2 linked regions of the Neurospora crassa OR74A genome follow. The protein of the gene in region 2 interacts with the protein of the main gene of each other region in a pairwise test. Links are inferred from orthologs where the notes say so. Each region holds a gene or a part of one and is shown on either strand. Other genes may lie near its edges. The genes, in order: NCU04274 and rpn-1.

Region 1 (7,171 bases), on a different chromosome or scaffold from region 2:
TCAGCTTCTGTCTCGGTTGTCTTGGCTGGAGGGACGTGCTGACCGTTTCTGGCTAATGGTTTAGACTTGGTGTGATCGATGCCAGGCGTCTTGCGGATGGACGGACTTTCGGCGTGAGGGTTGAATGCTAGACCTGGTTTCGGCGCGACTTGGCCACTAGCCAATGCCTCCTCCGGAAGTTGGGTCACAGCTTTAGCGGAGAAGAAGCCAACGGTTTCTGGTGCGGGAGCTACAGCTGCACCTGCTTGGGGAGCAGGAGCGGCAGGAGCAGGCTTCTGTGGTGTTGTGTAGTTCTGGGGGTTGTTGGGAGTGTTTGCGTTGCTGGAATTGTTGACCGGTTGACCCATAGGACGACTTTGGTTGCTGTTAAGCTGCTGTTGTGGAGGCCGACTTTGGGCCCTCGCCGTGAATTGGTGGGAATTCTGTGGTTGCTGCCGGGTATTCAGGCTGCCTGTTGACCCTGACCGCGACAGAGGTCGTGATTGTTGTGCTTGTGGGTTGAGATTGGTCAGTTGCTGATGTACAGGCTTGTCGTTCAAGCTATTGTGCACGGCTTGTGGTAGCACGACTTCATCTGGATGGCCCTCATCGGCCATGTTGAAATCGGCCTCATCGAGTTCTAGTCATCATCAGCCGAGCCCACCCAAAAATAGTGCACAAGTGGCCTTACCTCCGAGCAAATCCTCAAAAGACTCCTCGTTTCCCAAGGCTGGTGGACGGGCGCCAGCCCCAACTGAGTCAACCTTCATGATATCTGCCTCAACCGGCTCCTTCTTGACGAAATCTGAGTGCCGATGTAGGTTGTCCTCCGCGAACTTGGTCGGCTCGACCTTCATCTTGGTGACCTTGGCCAAGTATTGCTTGTCGTAGATACAGTTGCCCAGCACGTTGCCAAATTGGCGCAGCGCGCGCTTCAATGCATCCGTCGTGGCTTCCTTCTTGGCCTTCTCAAAAGCAGCCGCCTTGCCCTTACAGTTCTCGATATGGCCGTAGCCAAGATCCTCGTGATACGTTCCGTCGCGTAGAGTGACTCGCATAATAACCGAAATGCCCATGTTGATTTTCAGCGTTTGAGGATGCTCATCGACAAAATCAACCTGAATATTCTGGATGCTGGAGGACCAGCCGTTGAAGCCGAAGACCTCGTTCGCAAGTTGGATGCATTTTTCTGACGAGATGTAGTGGACTTTTTGGCCTGATGGGCCGGCGCGGCTCGACAGGTACTCGGGTCCTAGTTGTTTCTCGAGACGGCTCTGTAGTGTGGCGATCTCTTGGGCTGTGTATTCGCTGATTCGCCGTTGTGGCTCCTCGAACGGGTTGGCGATGAGTTTGTGTTGGTCGCCGACTCTGTTGAAGTGTTAATGAGGGTCTCGGTTACTGGAAGGCCGCGGGAGACGCGGTTGACACACGTCGTCGATAGCAGAGGTAAACATACGCAGGCATCTTGTCTAGCAGAGCAGCCTCAAGGCTGGTGGTTTGCGAGTCGTTCGCAGTGGTATCCCAGCAGGAAGGAATGGGATTAACGTCTTGAAGGGGAGAGTTTTTTTTTCTTTTTTCAAAAAAAATATTTGTGACTTTCCTAAAGCAAACGTCGCGAAGCATGCAGTGATGGATCAAGGCAAGAACGACAAGACGCGCTGTGTAGATTGGGCAGGCGCGCTCGGAGTGCGTTATCACGTGGGGCGCTGGTGGCGTCTGCCTAACACCCGCCCCTGACCGGTGGGGCTCTAGCCTCTAGGTGGTGACCTCACCAACTTTTAGGCCTTTCTCTAGGTTGTCATCCCGTCACACAGTCGGAGGGAACTCCACTTCAGTTGTCCATTCACGATCCGTCGAGCTTAGTCATGCCTCCATATCTAGTGTAGTGTAATTCATTCCATGATGGCCATTCCATATCTCAACTCGTTGTACGTGGTTCTAAAGGGAGCCGCCACTGTCCGTGTAGGAGCAAATATGCAAGGGACTTCATTGCGAGAGGCAGTAGTGTTGCTTTGGTCTCTGTGAACAAGATGGTGCTTCAAGGGCAGATATGATCATCTGGATTTCGCGTTTGGACTCCGGTCATTATCCGGACACTTCCAACTTCATTGTTGGAAACGGCTTGCTTGGATCACAGAATCAATGAAGATGCAAGTCGAGTTTGATTGATCCCAACAAACCGCTAAATTCACCTCGGGATACACCCAATGAACCCGGGACATGTTGCGGGTGTACGGGTATCTACACCAAATCACCCGCCAGGCACACTGTGTTATCCGAGACTTCGTTTTACCAATTGCGTGGCTATGGTGGAATGAATATGGTAGTGATGGTTGGTTACACACATGCTCCACTTCCGACCTCGGAAAGAATATGCTAAAGATTGCGTACATGCAAGTGACGAACAAGTCGTTCCCCTAGAACGAGAGACAGCCGGTAGGAAAGAGGTATCTTGTGCCAGTGAGATGTGGCCAGAAAGACAACAATGAAGGCAAGAAACAACAGCATTCAGGAAGCCAACACGCCAACGCCTTGAAAACAATGATCCCCGCAAGTAACCCACGCCTGTCTATGTCATCCTTCCCCATTCGCCCCAAACAATGCCCTGAATGTTGAAAAAGTGAACGACAAAAGAAACCATGATGCAATCGACCTGAATGTCCGCTTTGCTTATCCTCCCAGTCCCATGAGTATCCGTATAAATTCCAAAGTCATGGCGCACTTGCATGTTCATGCCGTCGCCTGTTCTAGAAGGGACCAACTTGGACAGGTGCGCCATATGTGCCGTTGATGAGCTGGTTGAGTATCGAGTTGGGGTCCGAAGAAGAACCCTGCCCATGGGCATTCGAGTTCGCGCCGACCCATCCAACCTCGTTGACCATTGCGTTCATGGCCTGCTCTAGCTTTCCTCCAGACTGCTGGTTGTGCTTAGCCAGGACCTGATCCCACTTTCCGTTGTGCAGGTGGAAGCCTCCTCCGCGCTTGGCCGCTTCCGTGATCACCAACGCCCAAGCTCTGGATATCTCGTCGTACGCTCCGTCCTTGTGGTGGCGATACTGCTGGCTGTCGAAATCGGGTAGGTCGTGAACGATCTTTGTTGCATGGTTCAGGTACTCCAACGACACGGTCGCCTGTTGCTCAACCGGCGGCAGGAACTGGGGGGTGAAGTCGCCGAGAGCATCCACCAACGCCATGAGCGGCTGCTTGACTCGGAAGTAGGTGTATTCGGAACTCGAGTTGCCGAACGGAATGGCGGCCCGTAGCTTGTCCTGATATTCGCCCAAAACCTCGAGGGCTCCGTTGACTGACGGTCGCGGTGCAGACACCATCACCTCATGTCCAATGCCCGGATGACGCTCGCAAATCGTCTGGAGGACAGCTCGCAACTGTGACTTGTCCAGAGTTTCGAGTAGGCGAGGAAGAGGCAGCGGACGTCCTGCAAGTTCGATTCCAGCCCTGACCTTCTTGGATGGCCTCGAGAGCTGCCGCGAGTTGATTGCGGGCGAGCCGGTCGGCGATATCGACATTTCGTTGTCATCGTCGTCTGCTTTTCTTTTCCTGGACGCCATGGTGTGTTGCGACACTGGCAAAAAGATGTTAGTAAGCCTGCAGTGAACTTTAGATTTTGTACCAGCAGTGCTGGATGCACGCTGGGATACAATGATCGGCAGCAACAACCTACTTATTCTAGGCGGCGAGCGGCGAGAGGGTTCGTGTTGGTGAGGGAAGAAGGGCGGCTGCGGCGATAGGAGCACGTTCATTGTGGGATTGAGAACAATGCTCGTTTTGGCGGTATAGCGTTGCGTGGCGCTGCCGACGCAAATAGGAGAACGACGACGATGTGGATGGATGACGGGTCGACGGCGGTGGAAGAAGCCAGGCGATCTGAGGCGGAAAAAAAGTGAGAGGGAGCAGCCGGCGTCAGACCGCTCGCTTTTATTTTAATTTTTTGAGTTGCAAGTGTTGCGAGTCGCAACGCAGAAATGCGAGTCAAGGAAGAGAAGAAAGACTAGTAGAAATGAAAGGAAGGGTGGAAGCAGGTCAAGGGAAGCGCAGGATGGCGAGTGAGAAGAACTGAATGGAGCGAACTCTTGCGAGTGGCAGGCAGGGCCCGCGCAGTCAGACTAGTAAGTACTTGGACTGCTTTTCCAGTGAGTTCACAGTGCGATGCCAATGGCTGGTGGAGTTTTTTTTTTTTTTTCACTTGGACGTTCTTGGCTCTGAAGAAGCGACCGAAAGTGAGGAGCCTTTTCCTTTTTCTCTCTGCACCACAACTGAACGTTGCACGGATTTGCGACGGGATTGCGACGAATGAAGGACTGTGAGTGGAGGAGGAATGCGCAGAGGGAAAAGGTGCTCCCTCTCAATGCAGCCAGCGGAGAAGCCAAAAGCAACCAACCAAGGCCAACAACAAGAGCGCATCCGCTTGACCTTCGCTTGAGCCTCCCAGTGGCTCATTCCCTGGTTCTCACTGGCGTCCCGGTCCTGGCAAGCAGTGGTGATGAGTGACCAGTCAACGTGTGATGTGTGTGGTGTCCAGGTGGTGTCCTGCGGAGGCCAGTGTCTGCCAGCGGGAACAACGGTTGGCTGGGCCTCTTCAAGGTCTGAGCAGCTTTTACGCCGATTGGTGATGTCGGGACTGTCAACCAGTGGTGTGTATCGGAAGGGAGGAGGAGCAGCACCAGCACCAGCACCACCAGCAAGCAGCGACCCTTTGCATTTGCAAGGAACATTTACCTAAGTACATAGCAAGGGCGGCGACGGGCAAAACAAAAAGAGTGGATGTCGGTTTTCATGGACCGGTCCACTCACCACAGCTGGCCCAGGGCCGGTTTTGTCGAGGGAGTCCATGTGGCCAAACATGGTGGCTAACCGGGAGAGGCTATTAGCTGTTTGGCCTTTGGCTACACTAACCGTATCAAGTACTAGTCCCCTGACACAACCGATTGTGGTTGGTACACTACTTCGTAGACCCCTACCAGAATGTTTAAGTGCATGCATGCATCAAACTCCGAGACGACGAACCATTTGAAAGATCTCAAGCGGTCAAGACAAGCCGGCCTGCAAGCCCAAGCAATGAGGCGTCAGTAGTATGTATGTGGTAAGAGAGAAGCTCCAGAGTCTGTTCAGACTAGCTGCCAATGAATTGTGTCCTTCTGAGGACATTTCCGAGGAAAAAAGTAGTGTACACGTACGACGTGGACCGGTGGAGTCTTTGAGGACCTTTTGTCGGTCTTTTTTTTTTCTTCTTTTCAAGGCCGCCAGATCTCGCCAAGCCCTATCGGTGGTTCTCGGCACGTGAGGCCCCAAAAAGATGGTTTCGGGTACCAATTACCTCCACTTTTCCGGTCATCAAACGCAAAACGATGAGACTTTGTTGAAGCGACCGCGACAGGCCGTCAACGGTATGCAGTGTACAGCGCTACCAACCACGGTACGGCCAGCACCAAGGACCTTGGAAAACCCATTGTTGGCTTTTCCGCATCCTCTCGGCCTGCAGTGGGTGTTTTAGACAGGCGTTTGCCAACGCTGCCTCTGTTCCTGGCCCTTGCGCTTGGCGAGATGATGGACCGACATTGAGGCCGCGTGGCCCACCTGCCCACCCGATCAGCTCCCTTGACGATTCGCTCGATCCAGATCAAAGCTTCGGGGGGTTGATTCGAGCAACGTCAGCAACACGCTCATGTCGTTTCCGTTTCGATTCTGCGGGACTTTAATGGCCATCACTCTGGAACAACTTCCGAAGGATCTGATACCCTTTCATTGGGAGTGACTGACCTGGAGTTGAATGGGGCTTCTGCTTCCCATCGGAAGTGACTGTCCAGCTTTGTATAGCTCAGGGTTGCTATGTGGACTTAAGAGACTCCCTGCAAAGTAATATGTCCAACCGTCTTTCAAGAACCCAACAAGTACTCTGCTCAATATAGATGAGTTTGGCAGACGTGTCTACTACAGGTACTCTACACCGTGAGCTATTATTCATGGCAAGGGACATCCTGGCATTGATCAAGTGGAAGAGGGGCCAAGTCAGCATATTGGCATCATCGACTTGTGCTCGTGGCTACATTTGGCCCATTGCGTGGTGCTGTGGGCTGTCATTGTCGGGGAAATATTCCATCCATTTGTGACCAATGTACAAAAGTACGTGTACTGTACCATACTCCAGTTGATGAGTACCGAAATTCTGCACGCTGGTCTCGTACCTACCTTGCCGACCCAAGTACGGCTGCACTTCAAGACCTGTCATCGGAGCAAGACACGTTTGACACTATAAGATAGGGCCCATAGACATCGCATTAAAAAGGGGGCAATCATGCAAAGGGCAAGTCCCATCATGAAATGACGGCGGGAGATCTGAAAAGATGGCGGCTCTTTGCAAATTTGGCACGAGATTCAGAGGGGTATGAGTGGAGAACCCGAAAGTGGAGGTTGAAAGGTAGGTCCCGCCCGCTCCCCCGCATTTTGCGCGATGGAGACCCGACCAAGCCAAGCTCCGGACCCGCAACTGGAGCGAGGAACAGTGACCCCTTCCTTATCGCTTCGCTTATCGCAAAGTAAATTTTCCAAAATCTTGTGCTGCCAGCAATTGGGGAATCTCAGCGTCCATGCGCGGCTGTCCTCCTTCTGTAGACATTGCAAATTCGAGGAATCAACACCCTTGATTTTATTGCTATTTCCAACACTTTTCTTCCCTTGCCTATTGACACCATCTCGATCGATACGCTAAAGCCAGCCAGAATGGCAGCAACAAAAGACCTCGAAACCGCCTCCGCGCAGGACTCCGCTCCCGTCGACGCCATGGACACCACCGCCGATTTCGTTTCCGAGAAGAAGTCTAAGAAAGAAAAGAAGGAGAAGAAGGATAAATCCTCCAAGAAGCGCAAGGCCACAGAGGAGCCTGCCGAGTCCGCCGAGACTGTCGACACCATGGACACCACCGCCGATGCCGATGCCGCCGCCGCCTCCTCCGATGAGAAACCCAAGAAATCTTCCAAGAAGCGCAAGGCCGAGCTCACCGAAATCGAAATCGACGTCACCGCCCCCGAGCCTCCCTCCAAGAAAGCCAAGCGTCTGCTCAAGAAGGGCAAGACCCTCCCTACCAAGCCCTCCTCCGACAAGGGTGATGACTCCGACGACAACTCGGATAACGAAACCGCCACCGGAAAGGACGGCGACAAGGACAAGAAAAAGA
Region 2 (4,241 bases):
AGACCTTGTGCGATACGGACCATGAACAAAGACTCCTGATCTCTGTGATAGTAGCTAGCCAGCTGACGGAGCAGCTGGGCAAGTCTAGCGTTGTTCGTACCGGCACCCAGGAGACCCATAGCAAAAATGGCGTTGATGGCCACTTCATTGTCATTGTCGTGGCTGTACCGTGACAGAGTGTCGTAAACCTTCATTTGAGGGTTGCTGGGGCTGATAAGACCCATAGCCAGCGGCACCGCTCGTCGGATGTTAGCTTCGCCGTAGTGCATAAGGTGACCAAAATGGCGGAGAACCATTTCCTGTCCAACATCTTCGCCCATGGCAATCAAGCCAATACCCAGAACGGCATAGGCCTGAAGCAACTCCTCGCCCTTCTTCTCCTCTCCATCCTCAATGTGCTCGTTGCAAATGTGAAGGAGCTCCTGAATCTTGAGGACGGCACCGGTGCCAGCCCAGGCGCAAATCTCAGCAAGAACAGCAGTTGGCTTCGCCATAGGGTGCTCAACCGCCTTCAACGTCTCAAGAATAACGTCCACCTGTTCCTGGCGACCAAAATAGAGGAGACCCAAGCCAAGCGCAAGGAACCTGGACCATTTGTCATTGAGGCGGCTTCCACTTTCTTCGTCCAACAAGGTAGTCACGATGGCCTCGCTGACTTCGGAATTGGAGGAGCCGACAAAGATCATACCGCAGGCCAGGGCAGCCATAGCCGACACCTGCATGCTCTCCTCAGGGTCGCTGATAATGTTGACCAAGAACGAGAGAAGCTCCTCCTTGCAGGACCCTGCGTATGCCAGTCCGAGACCCATAATGGTAGCTACGCGGATGAGCGGGTTCTTGTGCGCAAGCTTGTCGGGATCAGCCAACAGGGCCATCGCGGGCTCGGAGTCCGTCCTAACGTTAGTATTCATGATACCGATCGCGAGGTATGCGCCAGCTTGGATTTGCTCCTCCTCGAGATAAGTATACTTGTCGACGTGGTCAAGACCGTTCTCGACGTCCCAAAGGAGCAGGGTTCCCAGCGACGCCACTGTAGACATCATACCCTCATCCTTGGTCTTCCACACCCAGCTGTCCTTGTCTTTACCAACGAGCATCATCTTGTCACTCCCAAAGCCGGCATTGACAAAAGCGTTGACGAAGCCGGCGGCAAGATTGTGTCGGGCAGAATCAAAGTTGGTCATACCAGCAACACGGCTGCTTTCGAGGTGGCTCTTGTAAATATCCTCAGTCGTTTTTGGCTCCAAGATGTTGAGTTCCTTCCCGAGCGACTTGAAATACTCCGACAGCTTCTGGTTGGAAAGGCACTCGTAGATCTTTTCGTCGTCATCATTGCTCCTTTCAAACTCCAATGGAATGCCCTGGCGCGCGATAAGGAAAGCGAGCTGCTTGCGAAGCGCAGGATCCTCGTCCGCCGCCTCGAAATCTTTCTCGATGAGTCCAAGATCGTTGAGTCTAATCGCAAGCACCATGGCTTGGGTGTGCTGGTTGTATTTCTTGTAGATGCTGTGCGCCACGCGAAGGAACGTCTCGTTGTCAGGATAGGTTAGGAGGTTGACCATGGAGACCATGTACAGGCAGACTCTCGAATAGGTGTTCTCGTCGAGAAACTTGGGAAGCTCCTCGATGATCTCGAGCTCACTCATCAGATCGACGGCATCGGCTTCAGCGTTGCTCTTGAGGAAGAGCGGCACCAGAACCAGGGCAAGATCGACCAGCTCTTGAGTCGGCTCATCATTGGCTATGCGCTTGGCGTAGACCTCGCCAATCTCGAGGGCGAGATGGCGAACGTACTCATGACCCCACGAGCCAATGTCCTGTGTTGGGGAAAGAAGTCTGTATTTCAGAGTATCCTGGCGGTCCTCGTCCGAGTATGTCATACCGATCACCGATAGAACATCTGCGAGAGATGACTTATCATCGCCAGCGGGCCACTCGTCGTAGAGTTTCGTCATGGTTTCATAATGCGGGCGCAGGAACTTGAGCGGCTTCGGTACCGCCGTCATGGAGGATGTGGATGTCTTGATAGAGTTCTTCATGGCCTCGAGGGCCGGCTTGTAGAGGGTCGCATCGGATTCCTGAAGACATTGTACTGTTAGAGAAGCCGGTCTTCAGCCTGTATCACGTCATTGCGAAGCACCAACCGTTAGCCGCTCAACGAGCATCTCAAGCTCGCTCTTGAGCTGCTGATCCTCTTCACTGAGTTCCTCGGAAGCTAACGCAAAGCGCTGTCAGCAGAAGCCCGGCGCCGATACCTCAAGTCGGTCGGAGTGGCCGAGAAACCCACCATTCTGTTCCTCCTCCTTCTTTCCGTTTGCGGGGGTCTTTCCATCGACATCTTGGTGCTTCTTCTCGTCATCGACGGCCTTTCCCTTGCCCTTATCGGCCGTCTTGGACAGGTCGCTTTCTTGCGCCATGATTACTGGCCGTGATGGTTGTAGGTGGGAGGATTCGCGGAGCCGATGGGTCCAGTTGGAGGGGAAACCAAGGTCGGTTGGGCTGGCCGGGGTAGGTGGACGCGGCGGTGGCGTTCGCTGCTGCAAGAAATGTTCAAGTTTTGTCACCGAGTTTGCTTGAGCGACAGGAACTTGAGCTCCAGTCGTGAGCAGAATGTCAAAATCAAAAGTGGATGAGCTGGCTGCGGTTGTTTGGAGGTTGTTATGTTGTTCAGGTGACGGTTTTGGAGGTTGGAGCTTTTGCAGGTTCGCCCAGAAGCACCTCAGTTGCTGAAAGCCAGCAAAGGTCAGTGGCAGTTACGGTACTAACGCCAGGGAGCTCCGATGGTGGTTACGCGACTCGCTTGCCGCCTGAAGCTCCCCCGTCTGGCTGAGAACGCCCCTGCGATCCAATGCTGCCCGCCTCAAGTGGGTCTGGAAGCCTCGGTGGGGACGAGGCGTCATCAGAGCCTGGAAGATACAAATTCCGCTCCCCCCAAGCTTCTGATAAGATAAGCTACTGGCCTGGACCTGGCGCTTGACCGGGCAGGCACAGCTCAGCGAATGGAGCCCACGGCCAGCCCTATCTTATCGGGAAGATGTTATCGCAACCGTGCATTTGGAATTTGGGGGACGCCCACTTTCCATTCTGGACATCAGCTTTGCGCTTCACCCACCTTGACTTTGACTTTGACGAGAGCGTCGTAGACAGCAACCTAATAGCTCTCTTGGATCAATACAACATCAGAAAATCTCTCACAGCAATTAGGCCGACAATCACCTGAGGGGAAAAAACAAAAAACATCCAAAAAGAAACACACAATCATGTTTTTGGACACCAGAGTTTTACGCCATCTCACGGCAGAAGACTGGAGAGTCTTGACTGCCGTTGAGATGGGCAGCAAGAACCACGAGCTCGTCCCGACCCCTCTGATCGAGAGAATTGCCCGTCTCAAGGGCGGTGCCAGTGGTGTTCACAAGAGCATAGCGACCCTTGCCAAGTCTGGCCTCATCGGACGCATGAAGGAGGCCAAGTACGACGGCTACCGACTGACCTACGGCGGTCTTGACTATCTGGCCCTACACACCCACTCCTCGAAAGATGTCGTCTACAGCGTTGGCAGTCGTGTGGGTGTTGGCAAGGAATCCGACATCATGATCGTAGCCGACAAGACCGGCAAGCAGAAGATTCTCAAGATCCATCGCCTAGGCCGCATTTCCTTCCGTACCGTCAAGTCCAACCGCGACTACTTGCGCAACCGGCAAGGCGGCTCATGGATGTATCTCTCGCGGCTTGCGGCCATGAAGGAATATGCCTTCATGCAGGCTCTCCAAGAAGAAGGCTTTCCCGTTCCCGAACCGATTTCCCAGTCCCGACACACTATCGTCATGAGCCTGGTCGAGTCCCTACCACTTAGACAGGTCTCCTCGGTTCCAGACCCCGCGAGCCTCTACGCTGAGCTTATCGACCTCATCCTTCGATTGGCCAAGCACGGGCTCATCCATGGTGATTTCAACGAGTTCAACATTTTGATCAAAGAGGAGCGGACCACCAAGTACACGATCGAGGACGGCGAGGAGAAGGAGACGGAGACGGTAACCCTTGTCCCAGTCATTATCGACTTCCCACAAATGGTGTCTATGGACCACGTAAACGCCGAGATGTACTTTGACCGCGATGTCGAATGCATCAAGAGGTTCTTCAAGAAGCGCTTCCACTTTGTGCCCACACAACCCGGTCCTTTCTTCAAGGATGCTAAGAAGACGGTTGGCAAGGATGGAGCTAAGCGGTTGGACGCCACTGTG

The links.
Region 1: the proteins of rpn-1 (region 2) and NCU04274 interact in binary tests that used the Schizosaccharomyces pombe proteins (3 or more experiments, as listed by UniProt). The link is inferred for Neurospora crassa OR74A from reciprocal best matches to the Schizosaccharomyces pombe genes mts4 and cut8.

What each region holds. Positions count from the first base shown.
Region 1 is NC_026505.1:5,458,853-5,466,023, reverse strand, and holds NCU04274 (nuclear envelope protein Cut8), read right to left. Parts: upstream 4,354-7,171; 5' UTR 3,741-4,353; coding exon 3,662-3,740; intron 3,563-3,661; coding exon 2,727-3,562; 3' UTR 2,075-2,726; downstream 1-2,074. Other genes in the region: double strand break repair protein mus-11, read right to left, coding at 1-619, 671-1,347, 1,436-1,602; NCU04273 (RNA-binding protein), read left to right, coding at 6,718-7,171. UniProt on the Schizosaccharomyces pombe protein: Together with nucleoporin alm1, tethers the proteasome to the nuclear envelope. Involved in ubiquitin-mediated protein degradation and facilitates the degradation of nuclear proteins like mitotic cyclin and cut2. Required for normal progression of anaphase.
Region 2 is NC_026504.1:2,086,460-2,090,700, reverse strand, and holds the start of rpn-1 (26S proteasome regulatory subunit rpn1), read right to left. Parts: upstream 2,801-4,241; 5' UTR 2,418-2,800; coding exon 2,288-2,417; intron 2,216-2,287; coding exon 2,145-2,215; intron 2,079-2,144; coding exon 1-2,078. Other genes in the region: rbg-40 (serine/threonine-protein kinase RIO2), read left to right, coding at 3,261-4,241. UniProt on the Schizosaccharomyces pombe protein: Acts as a regulatory subunit of the 26 proteasome which is involved in the ATP-dependent degradation of ubiquitinated proteins.